3 linked regions of the Lonchura striata genome follow. The main gene of each other region encodes a partner of the protein of the gene in region 2 in a complex. Links are inferred from orthologs where the notes say so. Each region holds a gene or a part of one and is shown on either strand. Other genes may lie near its edges.

Region 1 (7,296 bases), on a different chromosome or scaffold from region 2:
TCAGAGCCTCTTCCCAGCCTCACCACACAGCAGCCAAAAGTATCCTGGGAGATTTCCCTGTTCCTGGCAGCCCAGGGAGAAGGAAATGTCCATCCTGGGGTTATCCCTGGAGCCATCCACCAGTTCCTGGGAGCCGTGACCCATGTTTTGACATTGGGATGGGCTTTAACCCCACAGACAGAACAGTGCTATGGGACAGTCGGGAATATTGTCCAGCTCTGAGGAAACTTTCCTTCTGCCGTTCCCAAATTCCACCAAATGCAGCAGCCCCTATCCATATTTACACCCCAACCTCAAATTTAGCCCAATTTGCCACACTTGGACGGGGATAAAACCCCAGAGCCCAGGCAGGGCTGAGGGATGAACGCTCAGCTCCTTCTGGATGCCGCCCCATAGGAAGCAAACCAGTCTGGATTCCCACTCCAGGTGTTTTATCCCAGCTGCTGCCTTGGTTCCCGCTGGAACCTATCCCAAGGCATAAGCAAGACCCAAAAAGCCTCCCAGCTCCAAGGATTGCCCCTGGAACCAGGCTGCAGCCGTGGTACCCATCCCAAAAACACTGCATGGCAGGATGCAGGAGGATGGGAGCTCACACCTACCTCAAGGTGGCTCAAAACAGAAAAAAAAACAAAAGAAGGCGAAAAACTTCTATTAATCCAGCAAAATCAATGTTTAGCCTATGAAGATTAACCAAAAAAACACAGATCATCCCATTTTATTCCAGGCCCGTGCTGACACAAGGGCTGGGCACTGTCTCCAGTGCCACATCCCAGGCCACCCCTCCCTTTGCCATGGCACTGCCTGGCCCGGCTCTGCTGCCACCAGATGGGAAGGGAAGAGGCACAGAGCGAGGCCTCGGAGTCTGTGTCACGTCCTTGGGACGTGGTGGTGGCAGCAGGGACTCAGGGACACAGAGACTCGGGGACTTGGGGACTCAGGGCCAAGCTCTGCTCCTGCTGACGCTGGTGGCAACCCAGGACAACACCAGGAACCAGCCCAGGGCTGGCATCGGGAATCTGTGGGAATCACCCTGGGTTTGAGGTGAAAAACAACCAGAGTGTCAGCAGGAATGTCCTTGGCTGGAAGATCCCAAGCTCCAGGTTTGGAGGTCTTTTAGGGACAGTAATGCCAGGGCTCCCTGTGGCTGGCACTGGGTGATCCATCGGGGCTGGAGAGGCAATTCCTGTGAGTGTTTGTAGGATAACATGGCCCTGATCCTGCATCCAGCCCCAGCTGGGCTGCCCCGGTGCCACTGGGGTGCTGGGAAGGAGCATCCCACCAGGATGGCTCCACCACGCTCCCCTGCTCCCTCCATGTCCATGGGACACAGGCTCAGTGCTGACCTCAACGAGGCCAATCACTCCATGTGGGATGAGCTCCTGAAGTCCTGCACCTCCTGGAAGGTTCTCCTGGTGATTTGAAGCCTGCCTGCATCCCAAAAAGTCTCCAGCACACCCCAAAACCACTGTTATCCCTCTCCCGAGGTTGCTCCAGGGCCAACGCTCCCAGCCCCTCACACAGAGTTGGGATGAGACAGGGCTTGGATCAAGGGGAGGTAACAGCAGGATGGGAGCAGGAATGAGCACAAGTTGGGATGCAGAGCAGGGAGCTGCACCCCAAAATTTGGTCTCCCCACGAGTGGCACAGCAGTGACATGGTGATGCCCCAATTCTTCCCACAGCACTCAGGAACTCGGGGAGCGAAAGCAGCAGGACAGGGTGTTCCAGTCACGGTCCAGAGCCAACAGAGGGGCTGCAGGAGCAGCTGAAAGGCCTGAGTGGGATCAGGCTCGGCAATCCCCCCACCCACAGCCCCAGCTCCGCGCCAGCCGCCCCCACAGCACCAGCACAGCCCTGCTGGCGTCTCCCCAGGGTCACGGCCTCGCTTCTCCTCGCTCCGTGCCAGCTGCAGGGATCCCGCTCAGCCCTGGGAATCCCTGGCTGTTCCCTGCCCGTCCCAGCCCACCGACCTCCTGCTGAACCACAAATTCACCCCAGCGGGGGCTCAGCACGCTCCAAGGGGAGCCTCATCCTCTGGGAGGCAGGAGTGGGGAGGGGGGAAGGCAGCCGGGCCGGGGGCTGCTGCCTGCAGGGAGGGATGCAGGTGGGCCAGGGGGATGCTGGAGCCTGCTGGATCCCAAGGGATGCAGGTGGGCTGAGGGGATGCAGCTCAGGGAAGGGGATTCAGCCAGGCCCAGGGGATGCAGCCCCGTGGAAGGGATGCAGGCGGGCTGAGGGGATGCTGCCTGGTGGAAGGGATGCAGCCAGGCCCGTGGGATGCAGCCTGCCACAAGGAATGCAGGTGGGCCGAAGGGATGCAGCCCGGGGAAAGGGATGCAGGCAGGCTGGGGGGATGGAGGCAGGCAGCAGGGGTGCAGGTGGGCCGATGGGATGCAGCCCGCTGGAAGGGACGCAGCCCGGCTGAGCAGGAGCCTGGAGGAAGGGATGCGGCCGGGCCGGGGGATGCAGGAAGGGGGAAGGGATGCAGGTGGGCCGGGAGATCCAGGTGGGCCGGGGGATGCCGCCTGCCGGCCGGTGGAAGCCGGCGGAGGGACGCCGCCGGGCCGGGGGATGCCGGGGGGTACCGGGAGGATACCGGGAGGCTGCGGCCGGGGCCGGGCGGCCCCGGTGGGTCCCGGCAGGAGGGTTCGGTGGTCCCGGACCCACCTCGGGGCCACCTGCAGAGCGCGCAGCCTCACTCGGGCGCACCGCAGCGCCGCGGGGGAACCCGCCGCGGCCCGGGGGGGGTGGGGGGGAGACCGATGGGGGGGTGTTGATGTTGGGGGGGGTCGGCGGGCCCGTACCTCCAGGGTGCGGATCTCCTTCTGCGTGAGGTCGTTGGAGGCGGCGCACTTGGTGCGGAGCCCCTCCAGGTTGGAGATGCTGATGTCGATCATGTTCTGGACCAGCTCGCACTGCTGCAGCGCCTTCTGCAGACTCAGCTCCTGCTCCTCGCTCCTCGTCATGTTGTCCTCATCCATCGCTCGCCGCCCCCCCCCCCCCCCCCCGCCCGCCCGCCCGCCCTCCCCTCCGCCCGCCGCCGCCGCGGCCCCCCCTTCCCTGGGCTCCGCTCGCCGGCCCCCGCCGCCGCTCAGCCCCGCTCGGCCGCGGCCCGCAGCATCGCGGTGCCCACCGAGCCGTCAGCGCGGCGCCGCCGCCGCTACCCCCCCCGGGCGCGGCGGGGCGGGGGCGGGGGCGGCGCGCTCCGGCTCCGCGGGGCCGCGCTCGCTGCGCGCCGCTCCGCGCGGGAACCCCCGCACACCCCCGGCCCGGCAGCCCCGGCCCCGGCAGCCCCGCGGCACCCGCAGCGCCCCCGCACCGCACAGCGCCATCCTCATCAGCACCCCCGCATCATCTTCAGCACCCCCAACCTCATCAACATCCCATCGGCATCAGCACCCCCCCAACCTTATCAACATCCCATCGGCATCAGCACCCCCCCAACCTCATCAACATCCCATCGTCACCAGCACCCCCCAACCTTATCAACATCCCATCGGCATCAACACCCCCCCAACCTCATCAACATCCCATCGGCATCAGCACCCCCCCAACCTTATCAACATCCCATCGGCATCAACACCCCCCAACCTTATCAACATCCCATCGGCATCAGCACCCCCCAACCTTATCAACACCCCATCGGCATCAGCACCCCCCCAACCTTATCAACATCCCATCGTCACCAGCACCCCCCAACCTTATCAACACCCCATCATCATCAACACCCTCCAACCTTATCAACACCCCCCAACCTTATCAACACCCCATCGTCACCAGCACCCCCCAACCTTATCAACACTCCTATCATCATCAACACCCCCCAACCTTATCAACACCCCGTCATCAACACCCTGTCGTCATCAACACCCCTCCCAACCTCATCAACATCCCTAACCCTCATCACCCCCAGCCCCATCACCCCCACACCTCTCCATCCTCATCATCACCCTCCCTCCCCATCAACATCCCCCCAACCTTATCAACACCCCATCCTCATCACCCCCAGCCCCATCACCACATCCTCTCCTCACCCACACCCACCTCCTCATCAACACCCCCAACCTTACCAACACCCCCATCCTCATCAACACCCCCAACCTTACCAACCCCCCATCCTCATCAACACCCCCAACCTTACCAACACCCCCATCCTCATCAACACCCCCAACCTTACCAACCCCCCATCCTCAACACCCCCAACCTTACCAACACCCCCATCCTCGTCACCCCCAGCCCCAGCACTTTCCCACCATCCCTATCCACCCCAATTCCCATATCTCCTCATCCCCACCCCCCCCATTCCCATCACCGCCCCTCCCCGTGCCCACCCCATGCCCCAAACCCCCCATCTCTCTATCCTCATCACCCCGTCCCCATCCCCCTATCCCCACACCTCCCCACCCTCATAAGAATTCCCCCATTCCCGACCCCCTCCCGCCATCCATCCCCCCGTCCCCACTCCCCTGCCCTTCCCCCCATCCCCAGCCCTTTCCATGCTCATCCCATTCCCTCTGAACCCCGGGAATGGGACAGGAGGGCAGCACCAGGGGGGAAGGGGGGATGCTGAACTGGGGGGGAAGGGGGCAGGGAGAATGAGGGGGGGTTAAATGGGGGTCTGGGGTAACGGGGGGTGGAAATAGGGATCTGGGGTAGTGGGGAGTGGAAATAGGGATCTGGGGTAATGGGGCTTTGAAATGGGAATCTGGGGTAATGGGGGGGGTGGAAATGGGGATCTAGGGTAATGGGGGGGGTGGAAATGGGGATCTGGGGTAATGGGGGGGGTGGAAATGGGGATCTGGGGTAATGGAGGGGTGGGAATGGGGATCTGGGGTAACAGGGATGGAAATGGGGATTTAGGGTAATGGGGAGTCAATGAGGAAGTGGGGGCTTGGACATTGTGGGGCTGGTGCTACAGGGGGACCTGGGGAAATGAGTGGGGCTGGAAATGCAGGGCAGGGATATTGGGAGGATAATGGGGGGCTGGGGAATGCAGGGGATCTGAGGTAATGGGGGAAATGGGGCATTGTGGGGGCTGGGGCAGAGATGGAGAATGGAAATGGGGGCTCTGGGGAAATGGGAAGTCTGGGACACTGGGGGGCACTGAGGGGGTCTAGGGCATTGGAGGGTCAAGCCCCATTGGCATTGGGGGCCAAGCCTGGCCAACACTCAGGAATTATTCAGGACAGAAAAGGGACATCCCAGCTCTGGGGGAGAACAAGCCAAATTCCCAATGGCTTGATCCATGCTCATAGTGGTCTACTCCTTCCGAGATGGGATATGGCTAAAAAAGCTGGATATCTGCTGATTTTTTTTTTTTTTTAATCAGGAGTTTTAATTTTCAGGCTCATCCCCGAGCTGGGATGTCCCTTTTCTGTCCTGTCCCCAAGGCTGGCTGTGAGGAGAGCTCAGAGGGACCCCTGGGGTGGGAAATGACATCAAGAACTGCCAGGGAAGGGAAGGGAAGGGAAGGGAAGGGAAGGGAAGGGAAGGGAAGGGAAGGGAATATAAAATAATTTGCAAGCAGGGAGATTCCATTGGGATAAAAGCACCCATCCCAAAAGCCTGCAGCAGCAGAGCTGAAGGAATTTTGGGTGTTCACCAAACTTCATGATTCCCAAAAAACCCTACAGCAGCGCATGGGATAGCTCCCATGCTTGGAGCTGGCCATGGTCTGAGAGGTGGATGAACATTCCAGGCAGTGGGAATGGCACAATCAGTCCATATAAAAATATCTGGTAATATTTTAATTGACTTCTGTTGGTTTTCTCCATGAGGGAAGAGTCTGGAGTGACTCAGAGTCTCTAAACTGGGTTAATGTTCCCTCAGTGCCAAGGTGCTCTTCCAGGCATGACATCCTGCTGGGAAGGGAGAGGGAATGCCCTGGCATGGCCACTCCAGCCTGGGAAACCAACACCACTGCACCACACCAGGGCTTTCCCATCTAATTCCCCCAAAACCACCCCATGAGGGTTCACTGCTCCAGCTCAGGGTGAGCTCCTCCACAGGAGCCTTTGGATTTTGTTATTAATATGGCAAAGAACTTCTTCAGCTGCACATGGGGTGGGGGGATCCCTTGGATTTCAGCTCTTAAGGAGCACCTGTTTAATCCTCTGTGGAAGAGCATCTCTGTTATCATCACCCCCAGCACATCACCTCTGTCCCATCCCCTGTCCCTTCAGCCTTGTCACCATCATCCCTGTTCCTATCACCTCTGTCCCTTCATCCCTGTCACCATCATCCCTGTTCCCATCACCTCTGTCCCTTCAGCCCTGTCACCATCATTCCTGTTCCCATCACCTCTGTCCCTTCAGCCTTGTCACCATCATCCCTGTTCCCATCACCTCTGTCCCTTCATCCCTGTCACCATCATCCCTGTTCCCATCACCTCTGTCACCATCATCCCTGTCCCATCATCCCTGTTCCCATTCCCTCTGTCCCTTCATCCCTGTCACCATCATTCCTGTTCCCATCACCTCTGTCCCTTCAGCCTTGTCACCATCATCCCTGTTCCCATCACCTCTGTCCCTTCATCCCTGTCACCATCATCCCTGTTCCCATCACCTCTGTCCCATCATCCCTGTCCCTTCAACCTTGTTCCCATCACCTCTGCTTCTTCAGCCCTGTCACCATCATCCCTGTCACCATCATCCTTGTCCCTTCAGCCCTGTCACCAGCACCTCTGTCCTATCATCATCCCTGTCACCATCATCCATCTCACCATCGTCTCTGTCCCATCACTTCTGTCATCATCTCTGTCACCATCATCTCTGTCCTATCATCCCTCTCCCATCAACCCTGTCACCACCCCTGTCACCATCACACCTGCCCCATCATCTGTCTCCTCATCTCCATCACCATCATTCCTGTCACTGTCCCCCTGTCCCCTTTCCCTGTCTCCATCATCTCTGTCCCATGATCCCTGTCCCATCAACACTGTCACCACCACGCCTGTCTCCTCTTCCCTATCCCATCATCTCCATCACCTCTGTCACCACCACCTCTGTCCCATCATCCCTGTCCCACCACCTCTGTCCCTTCATCCCACCCAAGAGGGAAACCAGAGGACATGCACCCAACCCCACTAAACAACACCCCAAAGATTTCCCCTGCTCTGGAGCCCCGGATTTATTACTGGTGGGGAAACACCTGGAAAAATCCATGTAGGAGGACAAGAGCCTGCCCCAGGCGAAGGCAGCTCCAGGGGAGAGCAGCAGCTCTGGATCCAGGACGTGCAGGAAAATCCCAGCTCCCGGCTGTTCCCAGGTGCCCGGGAAGGACCTGGAGGCTCCGAAGG
Region 2 (7,790 bases):
AAGAAAGGAAAAAAGAGAAAAGAGCCATGCACATGATACCCAGGCCTCCTGCACACTCCTAAAGCCCCACACCACGTGCCATAAAAAGCTTTCCCTTGCTCCAGTCAGTGGGCTCCCATCACCAAATAAGGACGAAGACAGAGGACAGGACACAAATGCAAAGCAGGACATCCTGAATCATCCAGCCTCTTCTTTCATTTCCTCCCTTTCCCCTTCCTTTGTGCCAGGAAGTCACGGTGTCAGAAGTGCTCATTCCTACCAGCATTAATGAGTTACAGAACCTTCCCCAGTGACAGCGAGAAAGTCTCGGAATTCCAGCACTCCCCAGGCCCTGCACATCCGTTTGGGCTGGTGCCAAAATCGCCTCTGAGCCTAAATAACTTCCTTCCCTCTGGATGCTGGGTCCTCGGTGCACTCCCAGACAGGAATTTCATCGCCTCGCCCGGAATCTTCCTTTTTGCCTTGCCAAGTCTGCAGAGCTCCTTGGGCGCTTTGCCGTGCCCGAGGAGCAGCGAAGCGTTTGGAGAGGGACAGGTTTGTGTATGCAACGAGTAACCAGAGCCTCACATTGCCAAAATTCCTGGACTGCAGGCTCGGGGCTTCAGCAAGTGTTAATATGGCAGTGCAGGGATGCACGGCATGCACAACAGCCTCACAAACACCTGACTGAGGAATTCAGGCAGTGACCAAAGGGGGAAAAAACCCAGAGCAGGCTCAGGGAGGAAAATAAACAACCTTACAGATTAAGGAAATGAAAAACAAAAGTGTTTTCAACTCAATTCCAAAAACATTTTTAAATTCTGATGCAACTGGTCTTTGCTATTTGAGATCTTTCACAATGAGGGCTTAAAATTAGCAGGATGAGGGGATATTTCCATGATTAATTAATCCTGGCTGTATATAGGACAACTGGTTGCTGAATTTACTTTCACTAAGCCAGTTCTTTTAAAAATACTGGACACCTCTAAGCCTGGCAAAAGCTCGGTATAAGGTCCTGTGTGTGACACAGATCAGAAGTCTGGGGGACACACGCACAGAGCCCAGCCAAATCAACACACGGAGCAGAAAATGAAGCAAGACAACTGTTCATCAGTGCAAAAAAGACCCAGCACTCCCAGGAGTCTCCAAAGGCTTCCAACAAGTAAATGAGTACCATGCATGTAAAAGCAATTTAAAATTAATGACACTTCTTGCGGGAAGAGATACGATATTGAGTATATTGGGAGCGAGGTGATTTACATCAGATACTACAAGCAGCAAGTGATTGGTGTATCAGATTTATTCTGTAGAACAAGACTAAAACACACAGAGATCCCCGAAGACTAAATCAACATATTCCCAACTGCCTTGAGAAAATCGACTGGGAAGTGCTACTCAGGCAAATATAAAAACACAGTATTTTCCCCCCCTGTCAATCCAGAACAAAAGCCCTGTAATATTTAGATCATAATGCTTAGATACAATCAGTAACTCCTTCCAAAGAACAGTTTTTAAACAGCTCATCACTCAGTTAATCATCAAAAGAGTTTGCTAGAAATGTCACAACTGGAGCTGCAAGATGCTGAATTTTTTTATTTTTCAGGAGGTATTTGCTTGGTTTCAGGATTACATTTCTTTTGCGGTTGATTTGGTTTTGGTTGTTTGATTTTTTTTTTCTTTTAGCTGTTTGGGTGGTTAAAGGAGATCTGAGCCTGTGTGAAAACATGTCACTGATGAACACTGATGAGCACTTTAAAGCCCAGGAGTCGCACATGTCACTGCAAGGCTGCCTGACATCCTCTGTGTCACCGTGCTACAGCAGCACATCGCAGCTGAGTTTCCACCTCCCGGAGAGGACCGACCTGACCATACAGGGGCAGGAATCTGCTCCTCCAAGACACACCTTTGTTTCAAGGCTCACTGAAGGGCTAGCCCGACACCATTGTCTAAAAATCAAGGTGCGAACATTGACCCGCGAACCTCAAATGAAAACCTGCCGTAACATTTCATCACTTCGCGGTGCCGGTGTTGTCTGCCTGACCGAGGCCACCCTGCCCACCCACATCCGTGAGAAATGTGCAGCAGAGGCTTCACCGGCAACCATGCAACCATCCAATATTCGGTATTTTTTCCCTCAGAAGTGTCCCCGTGATCAGCTCAGCCCTTCCCACATTTACAGTGTCATGTTTGTGTTGCCCATAGAGGAGCTCCGAAGCTGTTTCTCCACACACACTCCCTGCCGTACCCAGCACAACACGTCAATTAGTGACAGACAGATCTGCTCCAATTAACGATTGTTTGGGTTAAAGCCAAGGACGAGGAAAACAAAACAAACACCTTTGCTACAAATCTGCGGGCTCCAGTATAAATTCTCCCACACACACGTTTATGAACCGTGCCATCGGAAACGTGTAATTTGGCATTACTAGATAATTATATAAGCTAAGAACCCAGCGGACACCATTACGGGCTAGGACAAAGGAGTTATACAAGTTTCCCCCTGTTTTTTCAGCAGGTTTTTTTCCCCCGCCGATGTGACAGAAGTTTGTTTATTGCCGAAGGCAGCATCCCCTGCCTCCGCGGAGGGCACTGCGAGCATCCCCCGCCCTGGGGTACCCGGGAGTCCCGCCCGGCAGCGGGGCCGGGGCGTGCGGGGCAGGGCGGGCTCGGGAGCACCGCACCCCGCGGACAGCGCCCGGCCCGGCCCGGCCCGCACCCCGCCCCGGCAGCACTCACTCCGCAGAGCTGGTCCCGTTCACGGCGGATCCATCCGGAGCGGGGTTCAGCTGGATCGGCCCGGGCTTCTTCTTCGGCATCTTCGCCCGCACACGGCGCGCAGGGGAGCGGACGGAGCGGCCGCGGCCGCACTTCGGACAGGTCCGAGGGACTTCCTGCGGCGCGGCAAACCGGGCGGGGAGCTGCCCTGTGCGGCGGTGCCCCCGCGGGCTGCGGGCAGGTGGCTGTGAGGCTGCCGGACCCCGCTCCGAGCGCGCCGAGCTCCGGCGGGCACTGCCCGGGATCGGGATGTGCCCGGCCGGGACCGCGCCGGCGCGCGCCGCCCGCGCCCGGCGCGCGCCTGCGCGGGGAGCGCGCGCACGCGCAGGGCGGGGAGCGAGGCCGCGGGAAGCGCTGCTGCCCTCAGAGCGCTGCTGCCCTCACAGCACTGCTGCCCTCACAGCGCTGCTGCCCTCAGAGCCCTGCTGCCCTCACAGCGCTGCTGCCCGGAGCCCTGCTGCCCTCACAGCGCTGCTGCCCTCAGAGCGCTGCTGCCCTCAGAGCCCTGCTGCCCTCACAGCGCTGCTGCCTTCAGAGCCCTGCTGTTCTCACAGCGCTGCTGCCCTCAGAGGGCTGCTGCCCTCACAGCGCTGCTGCCCTCACAGCGCTGCTGCCCTCACAGCGCTCCTGCCTTCAGAGCCCTGCTGTTCTCACAGCGCTGCTGCCCTCACAGCGCTGCTGCCCTCACAGCGCTGCTGCCCTCACAGCGCTGCTGCCCTCAGAGCGCTGCTACCCTCACAGCACTGCTACCCTCAGAGCACTGCTGCCCTCACAGCGCTGCTGCCCTCACAGCGCTCCTGCCTTCAGAGCCCTGCTGTTCTCACAGCGGTGCTGCCCTCACAGCGCTGCTGCCCTCACAACGCTGCTGCCCTCACAGCGCTGCTGCATTCAGAGCCCTGCTGTTCTCACAGCACTGCTGCCCTCACAGCGCTGCTGCCTTCAGAGCCCTGCTGCCCTCACAGCACTGCTACCCTCACAGCACTGCTGCCCTCACAGCGCTGCTGCCCTCAGAGCCCTGCTGCCCTCACAGCGCTGCTGCCCTCCCAGCGCTGCTGCCGGGAGCCCGCCCTGCCCTGTCAGGGTGGGCAGTCCTGGCACAGGCTGCACACAGAAGCTGGAGCTGCCCCATCCCTTGGAAGTGCCCCAGGCCAGGCTGGAGCAACCTGGGACAGGGAAGGTGTCCCTGCCCATGGCACTAGATGGGCTTTAAGGTCCCTTTCAACCCAACCTGTTCTATGATGACTTAAACAGAGCCTTGCTTTAAATCCACTTGCTTCCACAAATCGATGAAGAACCTGTTTTTTTTTTTTTTAAAAGGACGTGCGAACTGCAGTGTTACAAGCAGCGGGAGCAGAGGGATCTCAGAGGTGTCCTATGCCACCGGCTGGACAAAGTAATATATAGTAATATAATTAGAGTGATAAAATTTAGACTTAAGACAATTACAAGACAATAAAAAGCAAAGAATTACAGATGTCCGGATGTTTTTGGGCCCTAAGTTGCCAAAAACATGCTTTGTGAACAAAGTAATAACCTTAAAAGCAATAGCCTGTTGCATATTCATATATCTCATACATGATGCATAAATTCCGTGCAAATTAAGAACGTTTCTGGTTTTGTCAACTTCTGCCCTTTAATCCTGGTGGTTACATAAAGACAGAGAGAAGGTGGAAGAACATTTGTTTTTTCTGATAAGGAGGCTGTAACTCTTTATGGGCCCTTTCACTCTTATCTTTGTGCGAAGAATTTCTTGATTATCTAATCTCTTTCTTGAGCTAGTTAAAAAGTATCTTACATAGCATAGTTTCCATCATAACATTGTGTTATTACCTAAAACTATATTTAACACACCACTTAAGAGAATTAATACAGCCTAACTTTCTAACATTGCACGTATAATATTGATTGTAACCTTTGTGAAAAGCCAATCATAAAATATGCATTTTTCACAAGAGCAATATATATATATCCTTTCTATGGCCGTGTTCTTCCATAGCAGTTCTGTCTCCACAAAGGAGAGTTGAAATGTAAAGGTTCTGTTGTTCCGCTGTGGGTCTTGCAGGGGTTTCAGGGCAAGATATGGAATATTGCAGCACGCAGTGGCCCTGTTTGGACAGCAAAGCAAGTCTGGACACACGTGTGCAGTTAACTGTGACACACACAAAATATATTATCATACAATAATCGTATGATAAGATTCAGGAGATAAAAGGAGTTCCATGCATTTGACTTCCGTGAACAAAGTGACACTACAATCCTGCCTCTGCTGCTGAGATCTGCAAAGAACTTTGCTAAAGTTTGAGTTGCTTTATAAGATTAATTTCTCATTGTCTGAATCCAGCAGAATTCAGCTGAAAACTCTTTTAAGGCCTGTAGGAGTTACACAGTGAGAAGGGCTTACAGGTTTCTTCTGATTTCTGACACAGCTGAGAAATTCTTTCTGTTGCTGCTGTACATTTCTGTACCACACAGCGCTCCATCTGTCAACAAACATGACACATGGAGCAGAAAAGACTGCAGTTACTCATAATTTTGCTTAAGTGATAAATGAAACCTCTCACAGACACACGTGAGCCAAGAAGTGAAGCAGCACTGAGGAACTCAGCACTAAGGTGGAGGTAGTGCCTTGGTATTGGTAAAAGAGTGAAAAAACAGTTTCTTTGGCAGTTCCATTTTTTCCTGATTTTTTCCTGATTTTCCCCTGATTTTCCTAATGGTCCTTTTCATATATAAGACATGTGAATACACCACCTGAATGAATAACATCTTTCCAGCAGTGGACAGGTTTTATACTCCAGTAAGTTGATTCAGACACCAGAAGAAGTGCAGAGTTAATTCCATTACAAAATTTCTACTGTGAATACTTTGGATAAAGAACCAGCCAGAATTCATTATGATTTAAATTTTTGTGGTTTGCAAAAGTACAATTATATTTTAATCAAAGTAAACATTCATGTTTTTACAGAAACTGAAATGATGAACAAAGTTCCCCATATATAATGCAAAAATGCTGAATAGTTCCTGTCATCCATTTCTAAAATAAAAATTAAAAAATTAAATTTTTTCCCCACGGTTTTGCCATTAAAGACATATTCCCTCCTTCCAATTCCAGATATTAAGGGACAGCTCCCTCCTCTGGACACTTTACATTTGCACTGAGAACACTGGACTGTGAAATTACTGATTTCATCAATCTCTTTCAAAATCCCTCTGACCAAAGCACAAAACCCAAAAAAATATCTTGGGTTCACTGTATCTAGAAATAAATTCATGGGCATATGGATTGATGCCACTGAAGAAACAATTTCTGTAATGTTGTCTGTAAAACAAATAGGTTTAACTTCAGTTACTAAAAATTAAGTGCATTTCCCCAGCCAAAACAGAAGACATGTTTTGGAAAATTGAATATTCTCCGTGGCAGGAACTGTGTTTTGCTGTACAAACAGGTGTTTCTGGAGGTGAATCACAGAGGAAAAGGTGAAGAAAAAAGAGAAGGCATTGTCATTTCAGCGAGAGGCTTCTGAGCAGGGAGACTTTCTGATTTATTGATTTCACCACTGCTTGGAAAAATAGAAATAAATTTTCTGTGAAAACAGAAGTGGAACAAAGAAGCTTGTCTTCATTACCACTTTTTTTCCCCTTACAGAAACTGAAATTTTGCCTAATTTCTTGAATAAAAAGAAAAGAAAAACCACAATTATTATATAGATCAATTGCATCTAAATTAAGCCAACTTTTCAAACTCGATTGCCACATAAAGCCACTCATTTTGCTGCCAAAACGTGAACACAAACTTCTATTTGCAAGATTTAATACTTCTTAATCTATTTAGTGGTTAGCAAAGCAAGCTAGGGAAATAATTAGTCCCATAAAGCAATGGCATTTAAGTAGTCTGATCCAAATTTTAATAAAATTGGACAAGAATATCAAAAATTATTTGAAGGGAGCTGACAGAGATCACAACCTGCCTTGCACCTTATTTTCCTCAAGAAACACAGATTTTAAAGAGCACTGTGGGTCACAGCACAATTCGAATGCTTTGTGATATACTATAAGGTTAGAAATGAACATTTAAGGTGGCTGCATAATATCAAATTTAGATTCGATCAGCAAGGTATAAATGTAAATAAGTATAAAGCACAAATAACTGAAATTTGCTTAATCCTTAAGATGTGACTTCCCATTAATACAGATACAATGGGAGCAGTTGTGCTGAGGGTTTAATGGCATGAACAGCTTTGCCAGCACAATATTTGAAGGTTTTTTTGCCGAGCAAATTCTGCTCCCTTAGGAATAAACCCCTTCAAGCATGGAAGAAGGCAATTATCCATTTGACAGATTTGCCTTGCTGTATATTACGTGTAACAAAGCAGGAAATGAGACTGAAATATAAAATAAGGTGCTAATTTTCTGCAGTTTTTCTAATGAAATTACAGTAATCAAACAGAAACAAGCAGTAATATTTCCTTTTCACCTAAGCTAGAAACTAGAAGTGTTTTCTAGAATGGAGGCAGCCTGCAGGGGGGTTTTTGTTTGTTTTTTCCTGACTTATTATTTTAGCAGCATGTGGCTGGTTATTCATTTCCTGAGGAAAAACCAATAATCAATGCCTGCCAACATTTGCTTTTTATTTAATTAGGAACATAGGACTGGAAAGAACCACCTAGGTCATCAAGTCCAGTTTCTAATTAAACACTCTTCAAAAATATTGATTAATCAAAGTTGCATAAATATGGTGGATTTTTTATAACCCAGTGTCCTCTGCAGAGATTGTAAGTGATCTTCTGCTTTTTTTTTGTTTTGTTGGTAAGGATTTTTCAGTACAAAGAGTGACTATTATTTTCAATGAAAAGAGCTCATAATTTAGATATTTGATTTTCAGTAATTTTATATGACAATGACAGTATTTTGTGTTGGAAATTTGTGTTTGATCTATGATTATTATTAAATCTCTGTGTTAATTTTCATACTTCAGCTGCCTCAATCGATTGAAGAAATTTGCCATATCTAAAAAGGTAAGATTAATTGATTCAGTG
Region 3 (7,443 bases), on a different chromosome or scaffold from region 2:
ACCCAAACCAGACCTTGTGGCATCAAAGAACCCAGTCTGCTAATAACCAAACTAACAGAACCTACTTTCCACTACAGGGAAACTCCCTGCCCTTCTAAGAAATGGCCTGCCTACCCTGAAACAGGGTCAGCTCATATAATACATTATGCTCAACACATCCTTTGCAAGCAATTCCCACAGCCCTTTCTTTCCTCTCCTTCCTGTATCTCAGTTTTCCCTGAGTGCTTATCTGTACCTGCCAAGGTCCAGTTTGAAATCCTTATCTACCATGTGCTTTATTTTGAGAACACCTTACAAGCAAGAGGAATGAGGAAGGAATTAAAGCATTGCGGTAAATGGGGAGGGAGCTAAGCATGAGCCCAAGTGCCCTTGGTTAGGTCGGTGTTCTTGACCTGGCAACTACATGTCACTACACAGTTTATCAGTTTTATTAATGGGACTAAGTTTTCACAGTTCTTTGTCATCTGAAGTCTTTGCACGGAAGAAAAGCCTTGTGAGAATTCAGCCCCAGCCTACATGAGCTCCCAGTCCAGGACTGACGTATAGTACAGATATAGTACAGTGCAGTACAGTGCTCACAGCACTACACTGCCAGTAGCCACTAATCATGACCCGCAGAGCCATTTGGTGACTCACAGAGGCCACCAGGGAAGCACAGCAGGCCCTGGAGATCTCTGAGCTCCCAGCTGCACTCTGGACTCTTCGCGAGCTGCCTGCGGAGTCCACCCACCAGTACCCAGCTCCGTGCAGGACCAGAGCTCATTGCTGTGTTGGCACGACCCCACAGGCAGAGGCACACAGCCACAGTGGCACTGCTGGCACAGGAATCAGGGCACAGGAACTGCACCTGGTACCTGAGACAGCTCTGGGCCCACCTCCTCCAGGGGCACCACAAGCAATGACAGCTTGGGGAAGCAAACACAGGCCCTGAGCTCCTGCAGTCTGGCTCTGTGACTGCAGCCTGGCACAGTCAAGCACAAGACTCGGGCCATGCCTGACATGTGTTTTGGTACAGGCAACCCAACAGCGCAAAGAACATGGAGTCTGTACCCATGCCCACAGCTCCATGTGCGGGCAGAGATCCAGAACTTGGTTGAACTCCCGGAGAAATCACATACTGGACTGTACATCAAAAAGACTTTCTTCTGAACATAAATCTTATGATCATCGGTGAATGTGGCACCCACTTGTTTAAACAGATAAATGCTGAAGAGGATTGTGTGCACACACTCAACAGCTATCGTTGCTTTAAGAAGAGCCTCAAGGTCATAAAATGCCTTTACACTTTGTGAATAAAGGTTTTCTTTTAGAACAGGTCCACAAGCAAAATAGTGATGATAATTTTCTGAAATTATGCTGATTGACATTGTTTGGGCATCGAAAAGGTCCTCAAGTAGGGCTGCCAAAAGGTTATACAAATATTGTGTCACAGAGAATAGTCTTTTGGATACTATTTGGAGGTGACAGGAAGAAGAACAGCACTATAAATTTGGGGGGCAAAAAAGAACCAACTAAAACAAAACACCCCACAAAACAAACTAACCAACCAACCAAAACCACAAAAAAGTCAGACGAAGAATAAAGGAAGAATTATAGATTTCCAGGAGGCTGTGCCAAAAGCTACCTACCACCTATTGTTTCATGGTTTTCTTCCCAACCTGCATTTCTCATGTGATGTATTTTTCAGCATGTAGGTTTATTACAGTTACAGTGTTGTTGATGATCCTTTCTTCCTAAAAAGCCTAACGCTCTATCCAGCTCCACTGTCTCCAGTACCACGTAGAGGAGCACTAGCATTTACATCAAACTTAAATCAAAGAAGAGGACAGGAGGGGATTGCTTGCTTAGGGCAAAACTACCTACACAGAAGGTAAAAGGAAACGTTATTTTAGTTTCTAAAGGTCAAATTAACTAAGGAAAAATACATCTACTTTCCTTTCCTATGTACTTATGTAGCTCTTCATACAGATCCAGCTGTTCTTTGAGAGCATCACAGCAGCGCATGTTTTGTGTTTGAAGAATTTCATATAATCTTTCTAAACAGCAGAATATCTCTCCAGCCCGGTCCATGATGCTGTTTGAGCTACAGCAACAGAGGGAGAAGCAGGATCAGATTAGATCAGTGAAACTGAGCCAGGGATAGAGAGACAGGCCCAGAGCGGAGGGCAGGAAGTATCAGGAGCAAACAGCAAGGACCTGAGGAGGCAAAGGGGAGTTTTCCCAGCACGCCAGGACAGCGGTGTGGGGACACACCTCCTGCCAGCGAGCCTCGAGTCACCTTTGCTCCGCGCCTCACACTGCGCATCCCGCTGCACAGGGACACGGGAGCCCGGCAAGGCCCCGGGGCGCGGCCGAACGGTGCCTCACGGAGCTCCCGCGCACCCGCCCGACAGCCCGGGGCACCGGAGGGGCTGCCCCGCACCTGTCCGCGCTCCGGCGGCACCGCCCGGGGAAGCCGCGGAGGAAGCCGCGGAGGAAGCCGCGGAGCGGAGCGCGGTGCCGACAGGGCGCGGATAGGTGCGGGGCAGCCCCCGGGCTGTCGGGCTCCCGTGTCCCTGTGCAGCGGGGAGCGCCCGGCCCGCTGACAGCTCCGCGGCGGAGCCAGGGCGCCGCTGTCCCCGCCACCAGCGCTCGGCCCGCGGGAGAAGGCGCGGCGCGGCCCCGGGGCCGAGAGGACAGGGCGCCAGGCAGCGGCAGGCCACGGCCGAGCGGGGCAGAGGCGGCAGCTGCGGCGCCCGCGGCTGCCAGCCCGCGCCGTACCTCCAGCGTGCGGATCTCCTGCTGCGTGAGGTCGTTGGACGCGGCACACTTAGTGCGGAGCCCGCGCAGGTTGGAGAGCGAGATGTCGATGAGGTCCTGTAGCAGCCCGCACTGCTGCAGCGTGCTCCGCACGGCCGGCAAGCCCCGCGGCCCCGCCGCCTCGCCGCCGCTCCGCTCCTTCCTCTCCAGCATGCCGGCGGCTCGCAGGGCAGCCGCTCTATCCATCCCTCGGCATCAGGGAGGCCGGGAGGCGAGGCGGCGGCGGGGGAGCGGCGGAGGGAGGGAGGAAAGGAGGGAGGGAGGCGGGCGGGAGGCGACCCGGCCCGGCTCGGCCCGCCCCTCTGCTCTCGCCGGGCAATCACCGCGCGGTACATGCGCGGCCGCCGGGCTCCGCAAGCGCGCCCGCTCCGCCCCCGCCACCGCCCTCCGCGCCCGCCGCCGCCCCGGGGCGCTCCCCTCAGCGCGTCCCTCATCCTTCAGCGCCCTCCTCACCCCTCAGCGCCCGCCTCACCCCTCAGCGTGTCCCTCAGCCCTCAGTGCCCGCCTCACCCCTCAGCGCCCGCCTCACCCCTCAGCGCCCACCTCACCCCTCAGCGTGTCCCTCAGCCCTCAGTGCCCGCCTCACCCCTCAGCGCCCGCCTCACCCCTCAGCGCCCACCTCACCCCTCAGCGTGTCCCTCAGCCCTCAGTGCCCGCCTCAGCCCTCAGTGCCCTCCTCACCCCTCAGCGCCCTCCTCACCCCTCAGTGCCCTCCTCACCCCTCAGCGTGTCCCTCAGCCCTCAGTGCCCGCCTCAGCCCTCAGTGCCCGCCTCACCCCTCAGTGCCCTCCTCACCCCTCAGCGTGTCCCTCAGCCCTCAGTGCCCGCCTCAGCCCTCATTGCCCTCCTCACCCCCCAGTGCCCACCTCACCCTTCAGCGTGTCCCTCACCCCTCAGTGCCCGCCTCAGCCCTCATTGCCCTCCTCACCACTCAGTGCCCGCCTCACCCTTCAGCGTGTCCCTCACCCCTCAGTGCCCGCCTCAGCCCTCAGTGCCCGCCTCACCCCTCAGTGCCCTCCTCACCCCTCAGCGTGTCCCTCAGCCCTCAGTGCCCGCCTCACCCCTCAGCGCCCTCCTCACCCCTCAGTGTGTCCCTCAGCCCTCAGTGCCCGCCTCACCCCTCAGCGCCCTCCTCACCCCTCAGCGCGTCCCTCAGCCCTCAGTGCCCGCCTCAGCCCTCAGCGTGTCCCTCAGCCCTCAGTGCCCGCCTCAGCCCTCATTTCCCTCATTTCCCTCTTCGCTGTCTCCCTGTCCCGTCTGCGCGCCCGCCTCAGCCCCTCGGGTTTGTCAGGGCTCGCAGCTCGCTCTGAGGAGCCCGCGGTCGGCTCCCTCCGAGACCCTGGAGGAAGCTGGGCCGGGGCAGGGGTGGCCTTCCCAGCCCAGGGGAGGTGTGAGCAGGCGTTAGGATAAACGTATTTTAGTGAATATAAGCTTTGAGTACGATAGGTGTGTGGGTTCATCCCTATCGTGAGTAGGAGGGAACTTCATTATTGCCTTGTGGAATCGCTGTGGTTTGAGTTTCCACAATGGAAACGTGAGGAAAATGTCCAGGTAACTGCATTACATTTGGTTTCATATCCAGCCTGTCTGATGGACTCGCACAGAGCTGAGCTGTCAGTGCAGGAACCACTCATCTCCCGATTATTAGAATTGGGACTGTTCATCTGACATGAGGGATCCAGAGAGGCAGTTAGGTTGTACCTTACTAACAGAAGAAGACAGTCTCCTTAATTTGCACTAAATTGATACCAGGTTTTAAAAGCTTAAATGACATCTGAGCCACATGTGGCAATACAGAAGGGAGATTCTTGGGGGGGAAAAAAAAGAAGAAACTATGAATTTAGGACATGAAGCAGTGGAGCAGGCCAAAGCAGCTAAACTGTTTTTTTCATAGTTAGATAAATACTGGTATCCACATCAGTTTGTATAGATTTGCATCAAGTAGTGTGGCATATGCTGTTTAGTAATTTTCTTAAGAATGTGGGTCAGGTTAAGTATTTGATTTTATTGTCATTATTCACATGCTGTAAATTTCATACGCAATAAGGGCTTTGCTGGATTAGGGTTTAATTAGTTTGCCATCTGATGAGTCCTGTGGTTTTGGGAAAGTAACTTTGCTTATTACCTCCATATTTCTGACCTTGTGAAAAAGCCTTTATCTACCCTGTCTGCGCTCAGGAGCACTGGAAGTTTAGCACTGGAAATTTTAGTTTCTAGGACTCTGAGGGATTTAAATCCTCAAGTACAGGTGACTGTGGAACTAGGGAACATTATTAACAGGACATTGTTCTTGTAGACATTCTCCATGTACCCACCTGAGAATATCCATTTGCTTATAGACAAGAGGCCGAGCGCGTTGCATGAGAAAGCAATGGGAATGAGAAAGCATAGGAAACCTGTGGGCCTGCATCACAGGATACTTGGCATTCCCTGCAGTGTTTGTGCGCTGGGAGTGCCGCCCTCATTACCCGGCTGCCGTCCGTGGGCAGCATTCCAGCCCCAGCACACAGGGCTGCCCTTGGGCCTGCGGGAAAAATGTGCTGACTAAACACTGCCTGGGCGTCCATCCCTGCTCATCATCCCTGCTGCTGCCTCCAAGGCTGTGGGGCTGGCGCCTTCCCAGAGCTCAGGCTGCTCTTCCACCACAAGCTTTGTCTGCAGTCCTGGAAGTTTAAGTTGTCTGAAACCACAGCATTCTGTCTATAAGGAGTTGGGGTAAAAACACTGCTTATCAGAGTTTGAAAAGAGAAATACCATGGCTGGGCCATGCTAGAAGGACCATGTGAGCACACTGAATGACCTCTTTTCCCAGAGATTTCAGGAAGTGACATATGTTGTACTTTATACATTAATTGATGCACCTGTTAGGATTTTTCTTTTAATGTACAGTTTATGTAGGGTGGACATAAGAACTGCATTCTCTAGAGTAAAACAATTGTTTGTTTGTTTTTTTTTTTAATTGAGTGAACCGTACCCACATTGTCAACTTCATTGTATAGTGGCCTTTTTTTGCCACTGTGTCAAAAACCAATCGTTCTGAAAACAATAAAATGTGGAATGCCTGAACTGGATCAGAGAAAACTGCTGTGTCCTTGGTTAAGCCACTGACCTAAGGATGGAGAGGATTTCTCTTCCCCACTGCCCCCATCTCTCTTGCCTACACAGATCAGGTTCTAGCTACATGAATAAAGCCCAAACCTTGCTAAGCACCCCTGGAAGTCCTGGACCACAGCAATGGTCTCGGACTCAGTAAAATAAGCTCACTGAGGAAAAATACCTTTTTTTATGTTCTTGGAGAAAGAAAAGCACTGATGCATTTCACATGCTGCCTGTATGAAAAGCCTCTATTACCTTTTTAGCTAGCTTGCCCCAATTTCATTCAGCTATCACAACACTGAATTTAGATGATGAGACTGAATTGCTCTATTTGATGTGTTTAACACATAATAGAGACCTGTTTTAAGAAAATGTAGTGTTGGGATTTGAAGAGCTGAAATGTTAGGTATTTCAGATGAAAGAGGCCTTTATCGTTGATGATTTTCCCCTCAAAGGCTTCCTCCTACACAGCCATAGGAGTATTCCTCTCCCCGGCACAGCACAGGAATACACAGTAGCTCTGGCATGCTTCTCTGCTGGGAAGCTGAGAAACTTAAGTCCTATTTTTAGACATGCTGCTGGATATTCTTGTTAGGATATACAGAGAAAGTGAGGATGGTGAGATGGTGTTCCCGGAACAAATCCTCACCATTCCCTAGTTTAGATATCTCCACTGCTTGCAACTGAGCCAGACCAGTTCACACAAGTATAAGACATGACCTTCACCTTTAAAAAATATTTTTGTCTAAGTCCACTTCTTCCATGGATTTTTTCCTGCTCAGCTGTCTGTGTCAAATGGCGTTTGACTAAATGCAAGGGATGGACCAGCAAATCCACAGATTTGGCAGTGGTGGATCCCAGTGAGTTAGGGATAGATAAAGGAAACTGAACTGTGTGCTGACAACAATGGAGGAAAATATGTGAAAATTAAACACTGCTCCTTTTCTTAAAAATAATTTTCGTGGGTGGGGAAAACATTTGAGTTTGGGCAATCTTGAGGGAATTTCTGCCCCACAAGTGGAAGGCACAAGAAACTGCTATGTAGCTTCACTCAGTGTTTTCTGTGTACAGGTGTCATGGTTTAACCCCAGCTGGCAACTAAGCACCACCAACCCCCTGCTCACTTCCCCTTCAACAGAAAGAAACTTTGAGATGGGACTGCGAGGAGGAGGCCTGGACTGATGTGTTCACCTTACATTCTGGAGTCATGTGAGTAAACAAGCATTGCAGCTGTTACAGCAACCCAAAACTTTCTAGCTTTAAGAACATAAGAATTTTAGTTGTCTATAAAACAAATAAAACCCCCAACATTTATTTTTAGAGTAATCTCATGGGTTTTGCAGTCTTTCTTTAGCATTAGCTGTGTTGCAATAGTGCTGCCTTTTTGTCTGTTATTTATCACCAGTAAAATAAACTGTTTGGGGCAGGAAGAGTCTTTTACTCTCTGCTCGCACAGCAACGCCTGTATCTCGGTGAGAAGCCTCTGAGTGCTGCTGTAATATAAATACTCAATAATTACAGGCCCAGAGGCTTTAGCCCCCACCCCAC

What was found.
Region 1: the proteins of MAP2K1 (region 2) and KSR2 are in contact, whole or in part, in a crystal structure (PDB 7UMB), measured with the Homo sapiens proteins. The link is inferred for Lonchura striata from reciprocal best matches to the Homo sapiens genes MAP2K1 and KSR2. Residues at the interface, in NP_002746.1 of Homo sapiens: Val81, Glu102, Met219, Ala220, Asn221, Ser222, Phe223, Val224, Gly225, Thr226, Arg227, Ser228, Met230, Arg234, Leu235, Gln236, Gly237, Met308, Ala309, Ile310, Phe311, Glu312, Leu314, Asp315, Val318, Asn319; in NP_775869.4 of Homo sapiens: Lys674, Arg818, Asp820, Lys821, Leu822, Arg823, Ile824, Gln825, Asn826, Ile837, Arg838, Gln839, Leu840, Ser841, Pro842, Gln877, Pro878, Ala879, Glu880, Ala881, Ile883, Trp884, Gln885, Gly887, Thr888, Met890.
Region 3: the proteins of MAP2K1 (region 2) and KSR1 are in contact, whole or in part, in a crystal structure (PDB 9AXH), measured with the Homo sapiens proteins. The link is inferred for Lonchura striata from reciprocal best matches to the Homo sapiens genes MAP2K1 and KSR1. Residues at the interface, in NP_002746.1 of Homo sapiens: Asp217, Ala220, Asn221, Ser222, Phe223, Val224, Gly225, Thr226, Arg227, Ser228, Met230, Arg234, Leu235, Gln236, Gly237, Met308, Ala309, Ile310, Phe311, Leu314, Asp315, Val318, Asn319; in XP_011523731.1 of Homo sapiens: Asn767, Gln768, Leu769, Lys770, Leu771, Ser772, His773, Leu776, Val784, Arg785, Met787, Thr788, Pro789, Asn823, Gln824, Ala825, Ala826, Glu827, Ala828, Ser829, Ile830, Trp831, Gln832, Gly834, Ser835.

Annotation. Positions count from the first base shown.
Region 1 is NC_134620.1:3,087,312-3,094,607, reverse strand, and holds the start of KSR2 (kinase suppressor of Ras 2), read right to left. Parts: upstream 3,001-7,296; 5' UTR 2,981-3,000; coding exon 2,804-2,980; intron 1-2,803. UniProt on the Homo sapiens protein: Location-regulated scaffold connecting MEK to RAF. Has very low protein kinase activity and can phosphorylate MAP2K1 at several Ser and Thr residues with very low efficiency (in vitro).
Region 2 is NC_134613.1:22,701,670-22,709,459, reverse strand, and holds the start of MAP2K1 (dual specificity mitogen-activated protein kinase kinase 1), read right to left. Parts: upstream 3,011-7,790; 5' UTR 2,796-3,010; coding exon 2,716-2,795; intron 1-2,715. UniProt on the Homo sapiens protein: Dual specificity protein kinase which acts as an essential component of the MAP kinase signal transduction pathway.
Region 3 is NC_134622.1:11,097,172-11,104,614, reverse strand, and holds the start of KSR1 (kinase suppressor of Ras 1), read right to left. Parts: upstream 3,001-7,443; 5' UTR 2,986-3,000; coding exon 2,761-2,985; intron 1-2,760.